2 linked regions of the Arabidopsis thaliana genome follow. Each later gene encodes a partner of the first gene's protein in a complex. Each region holds a gene or a part of one and is shown on either strand. Other genes may lie near its edges.

The links.
Region 2: SYN4 (region 1) and SYN2 share a complex: the UniProt entries of both Arabidopsis thaliana proteins name them as parts of the cohesin complex.

Annotation. Positions count from the first base shown.
Region 1 is NC_003076.8:5,313,915-5,323,030, forward strand, and holds SYN4 (sister chromatid cohesion 1 protein 4), read left to right. Parts: upstream 1-2,282; 5' UTR 2,283-2,586; intron 2,587-2,843; 5' UTR 2,844-2,868; coding exon 2,869-2,992; intron 2,993-3,166; coding exon 3,167-3,428; intron 3,429-3,527; coding exon 3,528-3,625; intron 3,626-3,710; coding exon 3,711-3,760; intron 3,761-4,126; coding exon 4,127-4,179; intron 4,180-4,632; coding exon 4,633-4,732; intron 4,733-4,947; coding exon 4,948-5,416; intron 5,417-5,495; coding exon 5,496-5,915; intron 5,916-6,018; coding exon 6,019-6,157; intron 6,158-6,458; coding exon 6,459-6,595; intron 6,596-6,695; coding exon 6,696-7,564; intron 7,565-7,639; coding exon 7,640-7,673; intron 7,674-7,894; coding exon 7,895-8,006; intron 8,007-8,109; coding exon 8,110-8,239; intron 8,240-8,317; coding exon 8,318-8,416; 3' UTR 8,417-8,786; downstream 8,787-9,116. Other genes in the region: ELF9 (RNA binding (RRM/RBD/RNP motifs) family protein), read left to right, coding at 1-101, 226-306, 909-985, 1,072-1,152, 1,263-1,354, 1,456-1,582. UniProt on the Arabidopsis thaliana protein: Involved in sister chromatid and centromere cohesion during mitosis.
Region 2 is NC_003076.8:16,358,033-16,365,698, reverse strand, and holds SYN2 (Rad21/Rec8-like family protein), read left to right. Parts: upstream 1-1,820; 5' UTR 1,821-1,976; coding exon 1,977-2,100; intron 2,101-2,244; exon of another isoform or gene 2,245-2,638; coding exon 2,639-2,912; intron 2,913-2,992; coding exon 2,993-3,030; intron 3,031-3,108; coding exon 3,109-3,155; intron 3,156-3,312; coding exon 3,313-3,383; intron 3,384-3,455; coding exon 3,456-4,213; intron 4,214-4,292; coding exon 4,293-4,404; intron 4,405-4,489; coding exon 4,490-4,626; intron 4,627-4,698; coding exon 4,699-5,282; intron 5,283-5,394; coding exon 5,395-5,431; intron 5,432-5,653; coding exon 5,654-5,675; coding exon of another isoform or gene 5,676-5,679; exon of another isoform or gene 5,680-5,762; coding exon 5,763-5,895; intron 5,896-5,992; coding exon 5,993-6,088; 3' UTR 6,089-6,368; downstream 6,369-7,666. UniProt on the Arabidopsis thaliana protein: May be involved in sister chromatid cohesion during mitosis.

The sequences.
Region 1 (9,116 bases):
GCCCTCAGTGGATCTGGCAATTAAAATCTTAGACGGGGCTCCGTTACGTCCTGCTGATAAGCTCCTCATGTCAGTTTCTCGAGCTAAGTTCGAGCAGAAAGGTTAATACTATTGCACATTTGTTGTATAACAACTTATCGGTTATGTAAAACATCCCATCTGTGGCTTTAGTTTCGGCAATATTTTACTTATGGTTTTTATTGGCTTTACTTTTTTTTTACTCAGGGGAGAGATTTATAACTAAGCAAACCGACAACAAGAAGAAAAAGAAGCTTAAAAAGGTCGAGCAAAAGTTGCTTGGATGGGGTACGTTTTCGCTTTCGTGTACTAAAAACTTACCTTATCTCTAGAAAGACGCATAATAGAGAAATATACTAGGAGATGCTAGAGATTCATTTCCTTACGACCATAGGAAGGTTTATTGTTAAAATTATAATTTCTTTTACTAGGAAAAGATGTATCTATATTGTCTGTGCTTTACCAGATCTTTGTGGAACTCTCTAAACTTAACCATTACTTAGCAAAAAGACTGCACTAAAGACTTTTAACCTAATCAATTTTGGAAAGAAACCTTTTAATGACGAGAGTTTAGAAACACGATATAGGGGTTACAGACATATCATTCTTTTCTTATTCTTTCTGGTGACTTGTGATATCTTAACTGATGAGCGTTTCCTGTTATTGAGCCATTTTTTCCTCCTACTATGTTTATTTAGGTCAGTGGCCATTGCGGATGCATGGATCAAAAGGGAACATATAGTCATGTCAATATTATCTATTTCTGATTATTCCTAGTTGATTTTGAGCATATTAAAATCAAAAGAAATGACCATTTTAGTTGTTGAAGTTGGAGATTGTTCCTAGTGGATTCTAAATTTTATCACATTTCCTCTCTTTTGTTGACGTAGGTGGTACAGATGATTCTAAGGTCTCAATACCTGCAACGGTTGTTCTGCGCTACATGTTCAGTCCAGCTGAGTTGATGGTAGGTCTTGTCCAATAGTTAATATGAGAAATGTTGCTATTTTTAAGAGTAGCTGATATAGCTTTGAGCATTTACTCTGTTTGCAGGCTGATGAGGATCTGGTTGCTGAGTTAGAGGAAGACGTGAAAGAGGAGAGTTTGAAGCATGGACCGTTCGACTCAGTGAAGGTAATAATATGATTTCTTTTTATCTTAAGCTGGTGGTCTTGCTTGCTGCATATAGCTTTGTGGAAAACTTGAGATTATTTTGGAGTACCAATCGAATCTCTTCTTTACAGGTATGTGAGCATCATCCACAGGGTGTTGTTCTTGTAAGATTCAAGGATCGGAGAGATGCACAGAAATGTATAGAAGCAATGAACGGTCGATGGTACAAACTCTCCTGAGTCATCATTTCCGCCTAATTGCCATTAGAGTCGGTATTGAGTCTGATGCTTACATGTACTTCTTTCTGTTTCTGGATGAATGCAGGTATGCAAAGAGACAGATACATGCGAGCCTCGATGATGGATCAGTGAACCATGCTACAGTTAGGGATTTTGATTTGGAAGCGGAACGGTTAGATCAGTTTGCAGCTGAACTGGAAGCTGCTGAGTAAAAAACAAAAGCACAATGATCTAAAGCTGGGAAGATTTGGATTATTATTCTGGGAAACTCAGGTTTCTGATGTAAATCACTAGGCACAGACACATCTGAATCAGACCAACGCAAACCCAGAGGACCGGTTTTATCTAGTACTAGTAGTATTACCTGTAGTGAAATTAACGAATAAGACTGCACTTGCAAGTGTATTTTGATATTCGTTGACTAAAAACCTTTACTACTATGTAATACGATTTTCTTCTAGAAATTTGAAAAATCGGAATTTAAAAGTTATGCTTCACTATATTTTTTCCTTATTTGTTAAATCATGATACTTAGCAGTTTTTGTGTGACACCATCACATGAATTTTTGTTTCTATCAATCATTTGTTTAAAATACTTTGTATTGTAGTTTGGACCTAAATTTCATACTTTTACAGCAGAATGTTGTCAGATGATCTCTAATAACAGAATCTTTATTTTTCTGTTTTTCTTATTAAAAAGTTTCGATTTTTTTCAGATTTCCCGCAATGAGGCAAAAGAAGCCGCCGAGTTGAAATATTTTGAAAAAAATGGAAAAACCCAAAATATTTTCAAGTAATAATTAAATGAAGTTAAATACTGTTGGGGCTAGTTGACGAAAACAAAAATTGTTGAAAAATGATCTAAATCTAAAGCTATGCGGGACCCGCTAATCTCTTAACCAATGAGAGAACGACGTATGTCACGGAACATGTGTTTCTTTGCCGCACCAAATCCCTCATTTAATCAAAAATCAACCAAAGATCCAAATTTCGAAACTTTTTAGTTTTTTTTGCATATCGCAATTTCCACAAATTTTACTGTTTTCCTTGGCTGTTGTTGTGTCTGAATCTCCAAGAAGAAAGAGTTGTGTCTTTAAGATTCTGCTTTTACCCAAATTGGGTGTTCTTTTTCCAAGTTTCTGAGAATTAGGGTTTCCGCGAGGACTCTGTTCAAATCGAGCTGTTTTGGACTTGTTTGAGCTTGGTCAATTCTACGGTAATTGATCTACCCTTTGCTCTCTATTCTACTTACCGAAGTAGTCTAGTGTCTCTGCTCAGTGGCAATTGCGAGACTTTGTTGTCGGTTTGAGCTATTTCGATTCTGTTGTCGAAATTTGGAAACTTTTTTTGATTCTCTATAGACGTATCTTTGGGGCTGAAGAAAGGGATTTTGTTATCTGAATAGTTTTTGAAGCTCAATTTTGTTACGGTGAAATTCTAACAAGTTGGTTCCTTTTTGTTGAATTTTTTTAGGGTTTTTTGGTATAGAGGACGAGGAATGTTTTATTCGCAGTTTATATTAGCTAAGAAAGGGCCACTTGGGACAATATGGATTGCTGCCCATTTGGAGAGGAAGCTTCGAAAGAATCAGGTCGCTGATACTGATATTGGAGTCTCCGTTGGTGAGTATTTTGCTACCTTTTGCTTTTGTGTACAATACCTCTGATTCAGGTCTCAGTTCGTTGTGCTCACTAGGGTTAGCAGAAGCTAAAGTTTCCTTCTTTTTCAGTTGTTATGTGGCTAAACAAGTTCATCTAAAATATTTCCTAATATAACTAATTTCTTTTTCTGAGCAGATTCTATTCTCTTTCCGGAAGCTCCGATTGCATTGCGATTGTCTAGTCATCTTCTGCTTGGTGTTGTGCGTATATATTCGAGAAAGGTGAATTACCTCTTTGATGATTGCAGTGAGGCATTGCTTAAGGTAAAGCAAGCTTTTCGCTCTGCTGCTGTTGACCTACCCCCTGAAGAATCTACAGCGCCGTATCACTCTATTACGTTGCCAGAGACATTTGATCTTGATGACTTTGAGCTTCCAGACAATGAGATCTTTCAGGGGTTGGTTTCTTTATGTTTTAACATTCAAACTCGTATTCCACTCTTACTCCAATTTGCATAATTTGTTTATTTGTTGCTCCTTGTTTTCCTGTCTAGCAGTAATTACGTTGATCATCATGTTAGTACAAAAGAGCAGATCACCCTTCAGGATACCATGGATGGCGTTGTATACTCAACGTCACAATTTGGATTAGATGGTCAGTGGTTGTTTCATATTTGCTTGTCTTTAGTTTGTAGATAGCTATGCCGTAGATAAGCAAAGTCATTTTAAAACTTTTGCAGAGCGATTTGGTGATGGCGACACTTCTCAAGCTGCTTTGGATCTTGATGAGGTATTTTTGTGTTTATAATAGATATTTTCTACTTTGTTCAAGTCATTTTGGAACAAGAAATAGGATAACCATATAGAAAGCTGAATATGAAGAGGTTATCTGTAGATTTCATTTGCTTTTAGATTTTGGGTTCTTTCTCTCCTCTGTTTGGGTAGACGCAGCAGCTGGAAGCTCTGATTGGTATCCAGTTGCGGAGTCCTAGACCGTGAAAAGCTTGTAATTTGAAGTGTTAGGTTGCAGTCATGTTGTAGCGTCAGGATAATGTTGATGTTTTCTTTTTCTAGTGAAGCTTTGCATATTTGCAATCAGAACTTCTCTCTTATTATTTTGGATGTGATCTTTTATCATTCCTCTCTTGTTGTGCAGGCAGTATTCCAGGACAAGGATGTTATTGGATCCGACGATGAGGGAGTTCCAGGGTCAGTTTTTGTTCATTATCTTTGGCTATATTCTTTGTAGCATAATTGCTTTTATGCTTCCCTATGGTTCCTCTCAAATTAACTATCGAAGTGTCAGCTTGATCTTCTTTTCTGGAGCTGTTCAGTACCTTTTCTATATTTTCATACCGCTACTTCAGATTGTTATCATAGATTTTAAATGCTCACATTAGGGAAGATCTCGAGTTGACTGAATGATAAAAAGCTTTGCGTTTTGGCGCTTGAATGTGTGTGTTTCAAGCTTTGTAACCATGCTTTTTAAGTTCCATGACATTCATACCTTGAGTTTGTGTTTGTTCTGTAATTGGATTGTGAATTAGAACTGCAATTCTGTGAGTCTTATCCTTCTTGGATGTGGACCTTTGGTGCATAATTTGGACGTGCAAATTATCAATCAAAAGTTTTACTTATGTAAGATATTCTATTTGTTGATAGTATTGATCACAACGCGTATCTGGATGCGGCAGCACCCGGGATAAAGGATTCGATGGAAGGAGTCTCTGAAGCCATGCCCATGGATTTTAATGAAGAGCAGGTGCGTACCATACATAATGCACGAGGGCATACCTATAGTTGCTTAATAATTGTCACCTGAGTCACAGTGCTTAATGTGATATATTTTACTTTGCATTATGTCTGAATGTACATTGCAGTTACAGACTCCAAATTTACAATTTGTTTACACAGATTTATTGGCTTACTTTTCTGGTAAGACTATTGGATAGTATTGTGAATCTCTCTTTTTGATAGGTTGAAGATCTTGCTATGAATAATGAGTTCATCGAAGATGCTCAAGCTCCTCAAACTCCTGGATTAGTTGAGGTGCCAAACTCGTCTAGTGTGAGAGAGCAGATGGCATGCGATGATCACATGGACGTAGAGGATCTGAATGCAGAAGAAGGTATAAAGTCCTCTGGGGAGCTGAATGCTAATGAGATGCCTAAACGTGGGGAAGACCTGTCTTCTGAATATAATGCCCCAGAATCAGCAGTTACTCCTGTGGAGGTAGATAAGTCACAGATAGATGAAAATGTCAACACACAAAATGAGCCGGAGGAGGAGAGGGCAGAGCATGTACATGTTACATCTCCATGTTGTTCTCACATCACCACCGAGATGGAGGATCCTGGTCAAGTAATGAATGAGGCAGGAGCTAATGTTGTACCTGATAAACCCGATGCTGTTCCTCCACTTGAAACCCCTGGAGAAGAGAACCGAGGTTTGTTGGCAAAGAAAATTGCAAACCTTATACGACATCTTAGTGCCTGCCTTATGCTTATAATTTTTATTGTTGCCAGATCATTTTGCCATTGCCACTGAGGTCAATCAGGAAACAGATTCTAGTTTACAAGGAGATGAGCAAGCGTACAGTAGACCAGATGGGCAGCTGAATAATGCACACGAAACTGATGAACAGTTGGGAAATTTGACTGGATTTACCGATTCTGATTTCCCTCCACCTGAGAAGGTATTAGCTGTACCTAACAGACAGGGGGATGGAAATGATTTCATGGTTGAATCTACACCAGATAAAGAAGACCCTGGCACATGTAATGATGATGCGGGGAATAATAACATTACTGGGAAAAAACGCACTTTTACTGAGAGCACACTAACTGCAGAAAGTTTGAACTCTGTGGAGTCAGTTGGACTGATTCAGTCAAAGAGAACTGCAGATTCTGTCCCTGATGACGATGATTTGTTGTCTTCTATCTTAGGTATCAGTTTATTTTGGATACTCTGTCTGTTCTTTTATACATTCTATTGCTCTTTGAGCTAGCTTTATGGATCAATTATCGTTGAATTTTTTTTTTTTTTCAGTTGGAAAGTCATCCTTTCTGAAGATGAGGCCTACCCCTGTGCTTGAACCAGCAACTACAAAACGGTTACGATCTGCTCCCCGCTCTACTGCCACAAAGAGGAAGGTTCTAATGGATGACCCTATGGTCTTGCATGGCGAGTATGTTTGTCTTACTGTTTTCTTATATCTGATTTTCTTATACCTTAGTTTTTTTGTTCCACTGCTCCAAGTGGACCTTTCATAGAAGTTCTTGTTTTAGCTACTTAGGTTCAAGACAGCTAGAGTCAGAAGTAAATTAATGTGAATCTTGAATTCGTTTGACTACTGATTTTTTCTTTACTGTAATTGGAGTTTGGTCTTCTTTTAAGTTTCACACCTTTAATTACCTAGGAGCGATATTTTTTTACCTTATCTCAATTTGTATTTGTTTTCTTCTGATGTTGCCTACTTTTCTGTTTAGCATTATACGTCAACAACTGACAAACACTGAAGATATACGGCGCGTGCGAAAGAAGGCACCTTGCACCGTTCCTGAAATCGTAATGCTTCAAAGGCAGGCTTTGGAGGATGGACTCTTTAAGGAGCCAATATTTACTGGTAAGTTCATGACACTAAAATGTAGACCGTTCTATACACGTTCTGTTGATTGTTCTTATAATCTGCAGTTATATAGCTAATATGTTTCACTGATTTTCAGGTATGTCAGTGGAATTAGTATCTCTGCACACTGAGCCGTATGATCTAAGAGGAATCATGATAATTGAGAATGATGACCGTCATGCTTCTGTTGGAGCGGTGGAAGATAATGAATGTTCTGTTACGGCCGTGGAAGAAAATAAAACGGAAGAAAGCTCTGATCCGCAAGCTCACCCAAATGATTGTGAGGAGCAACCTGGTACGGCTCATACTCACCCGCAGGAGGAACAAACCATAAACCAACAGGAAGAGCTGAAAGATGATAATGAGCTTGCTGAAAAATCTGACTTGGAGGTTTTGAAGGAAGGCAATGGAGCTGCTGATGAAGTAAATCTTGTAGTGATTGACGATGTCAGTCAAATACCGTCTGAGGAAAAACTCGACCGTGTAGAGGATTTACAGGTTGAAGAATCCCATGAAAACCATGATGGAGAAGGCGGGCAGGATGTTTGTGCGGATCCTAATGAAAAAAGTTGCACTGACGTTATTGAAATTGCTGAAGGCGATACAGATATCAACCCCATTTTCAATGAGATGGACTTGAAAGTTGAAGATGAACTTCCACATGAAGATGAGAAAACGGATGCATCAGCTGAAGTTAGCGAGCTTGGGAGAGACGATCAGACTCCATGCGATAACACAGTTGGGTCTACTGAAACTGGATGCCTAGAAGCTGGTGATTTGAGTAACATGGCTTTGGAAAATTGCAATGAACCTCTGGTGGAAGCGAATAGTGATGGGTTGAATCCAGAGACAGAGTCTTATAACAAATACGAACCGCATAATGAGATGTCTAATGAGGAGGCGTCTATGCAAAATGCATTAGATGGAGAGCATACTTCTCGTGATGGTCTTATGGGAGACAATGATGTAAGTTTCTTTGTTGCGTCATATCCTTATTCAAGTAAGACATGTCCCTGACTCTCTTGTTATCTTATGGTGTAGGAAATGGATACCATGGAAAATGCACATGACACAGGTTCTAAGCCTTTTCGAATTTCAATTCTTTTCTTTTCCAAATGGTCTGTATCCTCTTCATTTGATCAATGGGACTGATACTCTGGTCATCATATCCTGGTTCAAAACTGGACTCAACAAGCTTAAACTTGGAGCATAATTTGGATACGAGATGCTGCTAGTGCTATTCCCGATGATTTCTCAATGGTTCTTCTTATTAATTTCTTGCATTCGTGTCTTCAGGATTTTTGAACGTCGATGATGATGAAGTAGATGAAGATCATGAGGAGGATGACATACAATATGATGATGAAACTCGTCTTCTAGAAAACAGTGGATGGTCTTCTCGTACTAGGTCTGTACAGTTTATGACTTGCTCAGATTTTAGCTTCTATCATGTGAGAGACGTGATGTGATGGGCTTGAATTATGAAAGCTTCTGATTCTCTTTACTTTTAGGGCTGTGGCAAAGTATCTCCAGACGTTATTTGATAAAGAAACCGAGAATGGGAAGAATGTTCTTGTGGCAGACAAACTTTTAGCTGGGAAAACCCGTAAAGAAGCATCGAGAATGTTTTTCGAAACCCTGGTATGTCCATAACACAACCCTAAACTAAAAAAAAAACTCTGATCTTGAATCTGTCTTATTGTTTTGCCAATTTTGCAGGTTCTTAAAACAAGAGATTACATCCAAGTCGAACAAGGGAAGCCCTATGAAAGCATCATCATAAAACCGCGACCAAAGCTCACCAAATCCATCTTCTAGATGGAGAAGATCAGTCATATAGTTGCAGATAGCTAGTTTGGTCCAATCCGAGAATATCATTCGAAATGATTCTACTTCTCCAAAGTTAATACACTTTCCCTTTTTAAGGCAATGTAGTAGTAATAGTAGTATCAATGGTGTTGTAGGCTATCCAAGTAGCTGGAGATTGGTGTTTGTCATTATTTACCTTTATATATAATGAGTTGTTGTTGTATATGTATATATTGGTGTAACCATGAGCACCAAGTTTAAATTTGAGAGATGCTAATTTTATTTTCTTTGGATAACCAAAGTTGTCAGGTTTGTGTGATATTGAAACCTGAGAATACTGAGGAAACATTTTATTCAATAAATAGTACTTTTCATATAAGATAAAGTCTCTACGTTCTTGTGAAGTGAAATTGTTTCCTCAAATGGTTTTCTAGTAAATGATCCTTTTCCCCATTATTATCATCAACGATTTTAGAGTTAAAACTACAAGAATTCAAGAATAGAAGAGTCAAATGTACGTTGAAACAAGGAAATGGCAAATTTTTAGCCGTTTAGTATATATATTTTTTTCTTTGAAGCCATTTAAGATATTGGATTGTACAATGACATTTTTTTGTTGTTAAACACCCGATTTTGTTTAAATTTACGAGAATTAGTGAACATAATACTCACATTTAAACTTTATCAAATGCAAGTTCTGCATTTCCAA
Region 2 (7,666 bases), about 11 Mb from region 1:
GAAAAGTGTGTAGAGGGTTTTGTCTTAATTGGGTCAGAAGAAAGGAATATCAAAGACAAAGACAATTACTTAGGGTTTAATTGGTTTTCCCTTTGTCACTCGCAAACGCTGTATTTGCGGGTGCTAGCGATTGTTAGCGATTGACATCAATCATAGAAACCGCTAGATACTGCTTTACACCGTTCAAAATCGCCAGATTTCAAAAGCTCATTCCCGCAAGCATTTGCGGTTGCGGGCGGTAGCAGTTAGGTTATTTTTTTTTTTTAATTAATTAAAATAATTATGTCTTCTACCCAAACCCTATATATCTTATTCTTATTAAAAAAAACCTAATCAATATTTAACGGAAGATTCCAAAGATCCCAAAATCAGATTTCTAAGTGATGTTCAAAAAGAAAATATTCTTAAGAATATTAACGACCAGTTTGGGAAAAATTTGAGTTGGAGATGTGTTAAAAATCGTTTGGATATCTTGAAGAAACTTTATCATATGTATAGAGGCAATCCGGAAAACCCGCGAGTTCAACGTTATTTATAGTTTATCACACTACTTGATGCAATTTTTGGTATGTACCAAATGCATAAAGTATTAAACTTTTTCTTACAAAATTTATTTATTTTAAATTTAATGTTTTATTTATGGTTTTAATTATTAAGCATGTTTAATTTTTCTAATATTATCAATTTATCATAATAATATATTGTATTTTTCTTTCTTTTAATAGTAATATATTATATTTATTTTGGTTTTTTATTTAATTACTATCACACTTGCTGGTTTACCGGTCATAAAACTCCCGAAAACGCACCCATTATCAAACGCTTAACCAGTCGTTTAAAAGGCTTGATAACGCTTAAAACCGCAACCGGCCGTTTCCGCAAACTTGCGCAACCGTAACCGCACCCGCTGTATTTAAACCAGTCAGGCCCTTATATAAGAATTGATCAAATTATTGGGCTTTTAAGAGTTAGGTCGAGAGACTTTTTATTGGGCATAATTTTATTCTATTCAGGCCCATTCGCAACGTAATGCCACGTCGGACCAATGGTCTATGAGATGTCGCTGTCACTTAAACGCCACGTAGACTTTTAACCGGACACGTGTTATACAAAATGACTGTGCGCAGTTATAAACGTTTAAACGCTCTTAACGATGCGTGAAGGAGTGAGACAGCTCACATTTCCATCAAACTAGTCGTTATCTTTTAGTGTGGTAGTATTATATTATTTATTTACTTCTTTTTCTGTAGAATTTAGAAAAGGTAAATATAAATATGAAGTCAATAATCAGCATTAGCATATTTCAATTCAATTGTTATCTTCGTTGATTAATTTTTAACAGCAATGTTTTTTTTTTTCCTATTCAAAAAATTAACTTGTATATATATATATATATTTTGTTTATCCAAAATTAATTAAATAAATTATAAATTATCTAATACTATCAGACTATCACTCCCTCCAAAATTATTTTTTCTATTCTTATGGAAAAATAGGAAATTGCACAATTAAAAAGGAGAAGGTTTTTTTTTTTTTTTTTTGATCAACAGAGAAGGAAGTATCAATTAAAAAAAAATGCATAATTAAGAAGGTGTGATTTTCTGGTCACCGTCTAATTAGGAAAATTTAAATTTATGACACCTAATTCAAAACATTTTCAATTTCCAAAACTACATAACTTGTCAATAGACTTTAAAAAGTTTAATTACTCTAAAACGACTTGAAAATAAACAGATTAAGCGTGACTTAACAAGAAAAAAAAAAACTAAAATTAAAATTAAAAGAAAAAAAGTTAATCGGTTTAGTAAGAAGCTTGTTCCGTACACCGCTTGACCGTTTCCTTCTCCTCAATTTCTTCTCTCCCTCGCTTCACTATTTTACGAAGTTGCTCGCTCTCTCTCTCTCTCTCGCTGCTCTCTTAAAAAAAACTAACCTTTGTCTAAAACCCAGAATCTGGTAAACCTTCACACTCAAAAATGTTTTACTCGCATTGTCTAGTATCGAGAAAAGGACCTTTAGGAGCTATTTGGGTCGCTGCCTATTTCTTCAAAAAGCTTAAGAAATCTCAAGTCAAAGCTACTCATATTCCTTCTTCCGTTGGTTTGTCTTTCTCCTCCTTCACATTCTTCTTCTTCTTCTCTCTGTTCTAGTTAGAGATTTTTCTCCGGCGATTGGAAAAGTGATTGTTTGAGTGAAACTTTGCAGCTTTAGTGGATTTTTTAGCTGGAATAGAATTTTAGGGTTTCGTTTGTATCCATTGGCAGCGTTAATTAGAGATCACTGTTGATTTTGTTGGGGTCTTTCAATGTTACTTGTTTATGTTCATCAGTTGTTTGACAAAATGCCTGAGTGAACCTCAGAGATTGAGTTCAGTGATTTATTTTAAGTCTGAATAGTATCGAATCCTTAGTAGTATCAATCTGCCTTTTCTCATATAAACTTAAATCTAAACATTTCATCTTACTCACTTAGTATCAGAAAGCTGCTGGTCAACGCTTAGTTTGCTTGATCTCTAAAGTACTTGTATCCTCGAGAAAGATGGACTTTTTTTCTACAACATTTGACATTTTCAGTATTTTTTACTTTAATGACGTTTCTGATGTGTAATTCTTCGGGGGTTTTTTTTTTGGATGCACAGATCAAATCTTGCAAAAAGAGTTAGATGCGTTGACATACAGAGTTTTGGCGTATCTTCTTCTTGGTGTTGTAAGGATATATTCCAAGAAGGTTGACTTTTTGTTCGATGATTGCAATAAAGCGTTGATCGGTGTAAAGGAGTTTGTGGCTAAGGAAAGGAACAGAGAAAAGACAGGTGTATCATTGCCTGCATCTATCGAGTGTTTTTCCATTGCTTTACCTGAGAGATTTGAACTAGATGCTTTTGATCTTGGGGTTCTGGAGGATTTTCATGGGTATGCTTGTTATTTCTATATAGAATGTATTTCGCAGAGATTCTTTCATAGTCTCAACTCTTTTGTTTCTTCTTTCTCAGGGGAAATGTTAAGCCGCATGAAGATATTACACTTAAAGGTATCTTATCACTAAAGTCGTTTAAAGGGAATCTCATCACTGTTCATTTACTAATACCACTGCACTGCGATAAAACAGATGGAAGTCAGGAAACAGAGCGCATGGACATGTATTCGATGGAAAGGGTATGGTTTCTCACCTTATAGATTACTGAGTGTGTAACTGTTAGGTTCTAAGCTACTACAGCGTATATTGACATTGTTTCTTCGTTCCATTCCTTTTAATTCTGGTAATTTCGTGAATCTATATATGTAATAAAGATAATGCTTTGTGGAGTTGCAGTTTGACATGGAAGAGGACCTTCTGTTTACGTTTCATGAGACTTTCTCTACCAATCATAATGAAAATAAACAGTGAGTCTGATATTTTTGGTTCCATACATGTAATCGGCAAACACAATCCTAATTTTCTGTTTGTTGTTGCAGTGAGAGTTTTGCTCATGATATGGAATTGGATGCAGAAAATGTCAGAGATACCACTGAAGAAGCATCCGTCAGAGTCGTTGAAGCGGAACCACTGGATTCTAATGAACCATCCAGAGATCATCAAAATGCATCTAGGCATAGAGAGGATCCAGAATCAGATGACATTCTTCTGGAACCGCAAATGTCCGAAGATATCCGAATAGCTCAAGAAGAAGATACAGTTAGAGAAACCATATGTACCATTGTGCAGAGACTAGTGGATTCTCATGAATCCTCAGGAGATAATCTACACAGAGATGGTCACACAGAGAATTTAGAATCGGAGAAAACCTCGAAGAAAACAAGTTGCGAAGAGATGCAGCATGACAGGTCCCTCCCATCTGAATGCGGAATACCTGAAGCAATTCATGGGATTGAGGATCAACCTTCTGGTGCCACAAGAATTAATGGGGAGAAGGAGATCCCTGAGATGAGTACTCTAGAAAAACCAGAACCAGTATCTGTGACTGGTTCCAGAGACTTGCAAGAAGGCGTAGAAAAATGTCGAGACCATAATGAAGCGGAAATGGCAGACTTTGAATTGTTTCATGGGTCTCATAAAGAGCAATCTGAAACTTCTGAAGTGAATCTCCATGGTTCCGAGAAAGGTTTTCTCTCTGACATGACTGTTTCTAAAGACCCTAGTAGCGAATTTAATGCAACAGATACTCCAGTTACTGTCACTCCCAAAACACCTTCCCGGTTGAAAATTTCTGAAGGTGCACACTTTATTGAAATATGAGCTTAATATACTTTTAGTTACGTTTTTAGCGTGTTAACCTATACTTTGAATTACAGGGGGAACAAGTCCACAGTTCTCGATCATCCCTACGCCGGCTGCGAAGGAGTCTTCTCGAGTTTCACGGAAAAGAAAATGTCTGATAGATGATGAAGTGATAATTCCGAACAAGTAAGAGAACTATTTGTAACCTGGATTAGATTCGTCTGCAGAGTTCCGTACAAGTATGTAATATTTGGTTCTTTTGTTATTGTAGAGTTATGAAGGAAATGATAGAGGACTCAAGTAAATTGCTTGCAAAACGGAGAAACGTACCTCATACTGACTGTCCTGAGAGGAGAACCAAACGTTTTGCCAATCCTTTTCGAAGTTTTTTGGAACCTTTGATTCAGTGTAAGTAAAACCTGGTAATCCGCTGTATATCGTATTGTATTGTTGTGTTTGCTGATTGTTGTAATCCCGCAGATGGTTCTTCGGACCTCCAGTCGCTTTTTTGTCAACCCATCAAGCTTAAAAACTGGGCAACCACAGGAACCCCTAAAGATACTAAAATCGCTAGACATAAGGAAAAGTCTTCTCTTGACACTGTCAGATCTCCTGGGGTTATTTTATCTTCAGATCAGACTGAGAATACTCAAGAAATTATGGAGACTCCTCAGGCTGCTGCTCTCGCTGGGCTGAAAGTGACAGCCGGAAATAGTAACGTGGTTTCGGTTGAGATGGGAGCAAGTTCTACAACTTCTGGAACTGCTCATCAAACAGAAAATGCCGCAGAGACACCTGTGAAGCCTTCAGTTATTGCTCCAGAAACACCCGTGAGGACATCAGAGCAAACAGTGATTGCTCCAGAAACACCAGTAGTCTCTGAGCAAGTAGAGATTGCACCTGAAACGCCGGTGAGGGAATCAATGTCGAAAAGATTTTTCAAGGACCCTGGGACCTGTTATAAAAAATCCAGACCTGCAAGTCCCTTCACTTCCTTTGAGGAGCACCCGTCTGTGTATTATGTGGAAAATAGAGATCTTGATACGATTTTAATGAACGATGAGGTACTGCTGTGTTGCATCCTTCTGATAGTAGTTAAAAAGGTTTTTATAGTTCTTTTAGCCTATCTTATTTAATTGCAAGACTGAGCATTTTTTTTTTTTGTTTCTGCTTCAGCAGGTGAATGCAGATGAAAGACAGGACTTACAACAAGGTAAAACGCATTCTGAATTTTTGTAGGTCTCATGAGTGCTCAGGCTTTTATTGATTTAGTAGACAAGAATCTATTAAGTTTCTGAAATTATATGTAGCTTTGAGTGAAAGTTTCAACCATCGAAATATACGCAACTTATTTGGAATCCAAATCTTATCAAATTGTTCTTGTTGCATGTCGATCATCGTGCTGCGTCCTTACCATGTATATTTTGATTTGCAGAGACATGGTCCTCAAGAACAAGGTAACAGACTCACACTTTCGGTATCAACAGCTTCGATTCGCTTACATTCAGATGATTATCCTGGTTTTCTGACGCTGGATTGTACAGGAATGTGGCGAAATTCTTGGAAAAGACGTTTTTGGAACAGAGGGAAAGAGAAGAAGAAGAGAAGGTGAGTTTGTTGCAACTGTGTAGAGGAAGAACTCAGAAGGAAAGCGCAAGACTCTTCTACGAGACTTTGGTATTTCTCAATTTTTTTACAAGCACATGTCTTCACCGTTTTATCTGTCTCCATGAAAGACTTAAGATGGAGAAACTCTCTGAATTTGATTTTGCAGGTGTTGAAGACCAAAGGATACGTGGAAGTGAAGCAAAATCATCCATATAGTGATGTTTTTCTCATGCGTGTTTCCAGACCACAAAAAGCTTGTTGAAAAATGGATATTTTCTTCACTTAAGATTTTCCTCAGATTTCTTCAGTTAGGTTTCAGATTAATGTTGTTAGCTTTTAGTATCTTCTAACAAAATAGCTATTTTTAGTTTTTCTTTTAAGTTAATTTTTAGTAAGAATAATTGACGATCTAAAGTATATGTGTCTTATCAAGTTTTTAAGTTTTTAAAGAGTCCTTAGCCATGCTATAGATTGTTTTAACGACTAGCAGAATTGTTAACATGTGATAACGGGTGCCAGAGTTTCGTTAAGGACTGATAACGCTACATCTATTTTGATCAACGAATTTATATATTTCAAACGTTTATAAATATTTAGTTCACTAGATTTTAACTCGCGGTATATTGCGGGATGATTTTTTTTTTTAAAGTAGTATATATCAAAATTTGCAAAATATATGTATTTATAAAATATTGATTCAAACATATTCATCATATAACACCATTTCAAAATCCAAAATATAATTTATTCTGTAATTTTTTTATCCGTCTCGTAATTTGTTTTTTAAAAATATTAATTTCTAAAATTTAATAATTATTTATTATATATAAAAGTATACAAGTTGTATTATTCTCTAAGTCATTTATATTTTATAGTTTAACTTTATATATAATAACATTATACCACATAACATTTTTGGTTTTATACAATTTTTTCTAAAAAAATAATTTTGATATGTCTAATATTGGTGGTCTTAAAAAATAATAAATTAAAAATTTAACCCGTATTAAAGCGGTAGATTAATGATATTTTAAGTTTTTATTAATATTGAATCAAAAATCTATCCCTTCAAATCCGTTTTGCCAAAAAGCAATTTATTTTATTAATCTTATTTATGATATGACTATTCGGTAATTGGCATGTGATCCGTATTTAGATCCAATAAGCCTCATAATTAAGAGATGGATATTATTATTAAATGACTTTGCTAATTTTAATGACGTGAAACGATTTTGTTCTTGATTAGATTTTTTTAATGACGTTGTCATGTAATTAGTTAGAAAGTTAAGGTTATATTTTAAATTGGACTTCCCAAATAATATAGTAGGACTAGATTTTAACCCGCGGTATACCGCGGAACGATTTATTTTTAAAAGTAATATATATTAAAACTTGCAAATTTTATTTTTACAATATATTTATATTTTACAGTTTATAATTGTTATTAAGTAACGCTATACCACGAATTCATAAGACAATTGTTAAAAAAACTGAAGTTTTGACCCCTATTAAAACAGCATATTAATAATATTTTAAAATTTTATAAATATTGATTCAAATACATCCACCATATAACTCAATTCTAAAATAAAACACGTTCTGTAATTTCTTTACCCGTCCCATGATTTTTTTTTAAAGTAGTAATTTTTAAAATCTTAGAATTATTTTTTATATATAAAAGTTTTGCCAATTGTATCATTCTCTAATACATTTATATTTTATAGTTTAATTTTATATATAGTAACATTATACCTACCACATAACATTTTTGGTTTTATATAATTTTTTCTAAATTAGGATGATTTGATATGTTTAATATTAGTGGTCTTAAAAAATAATA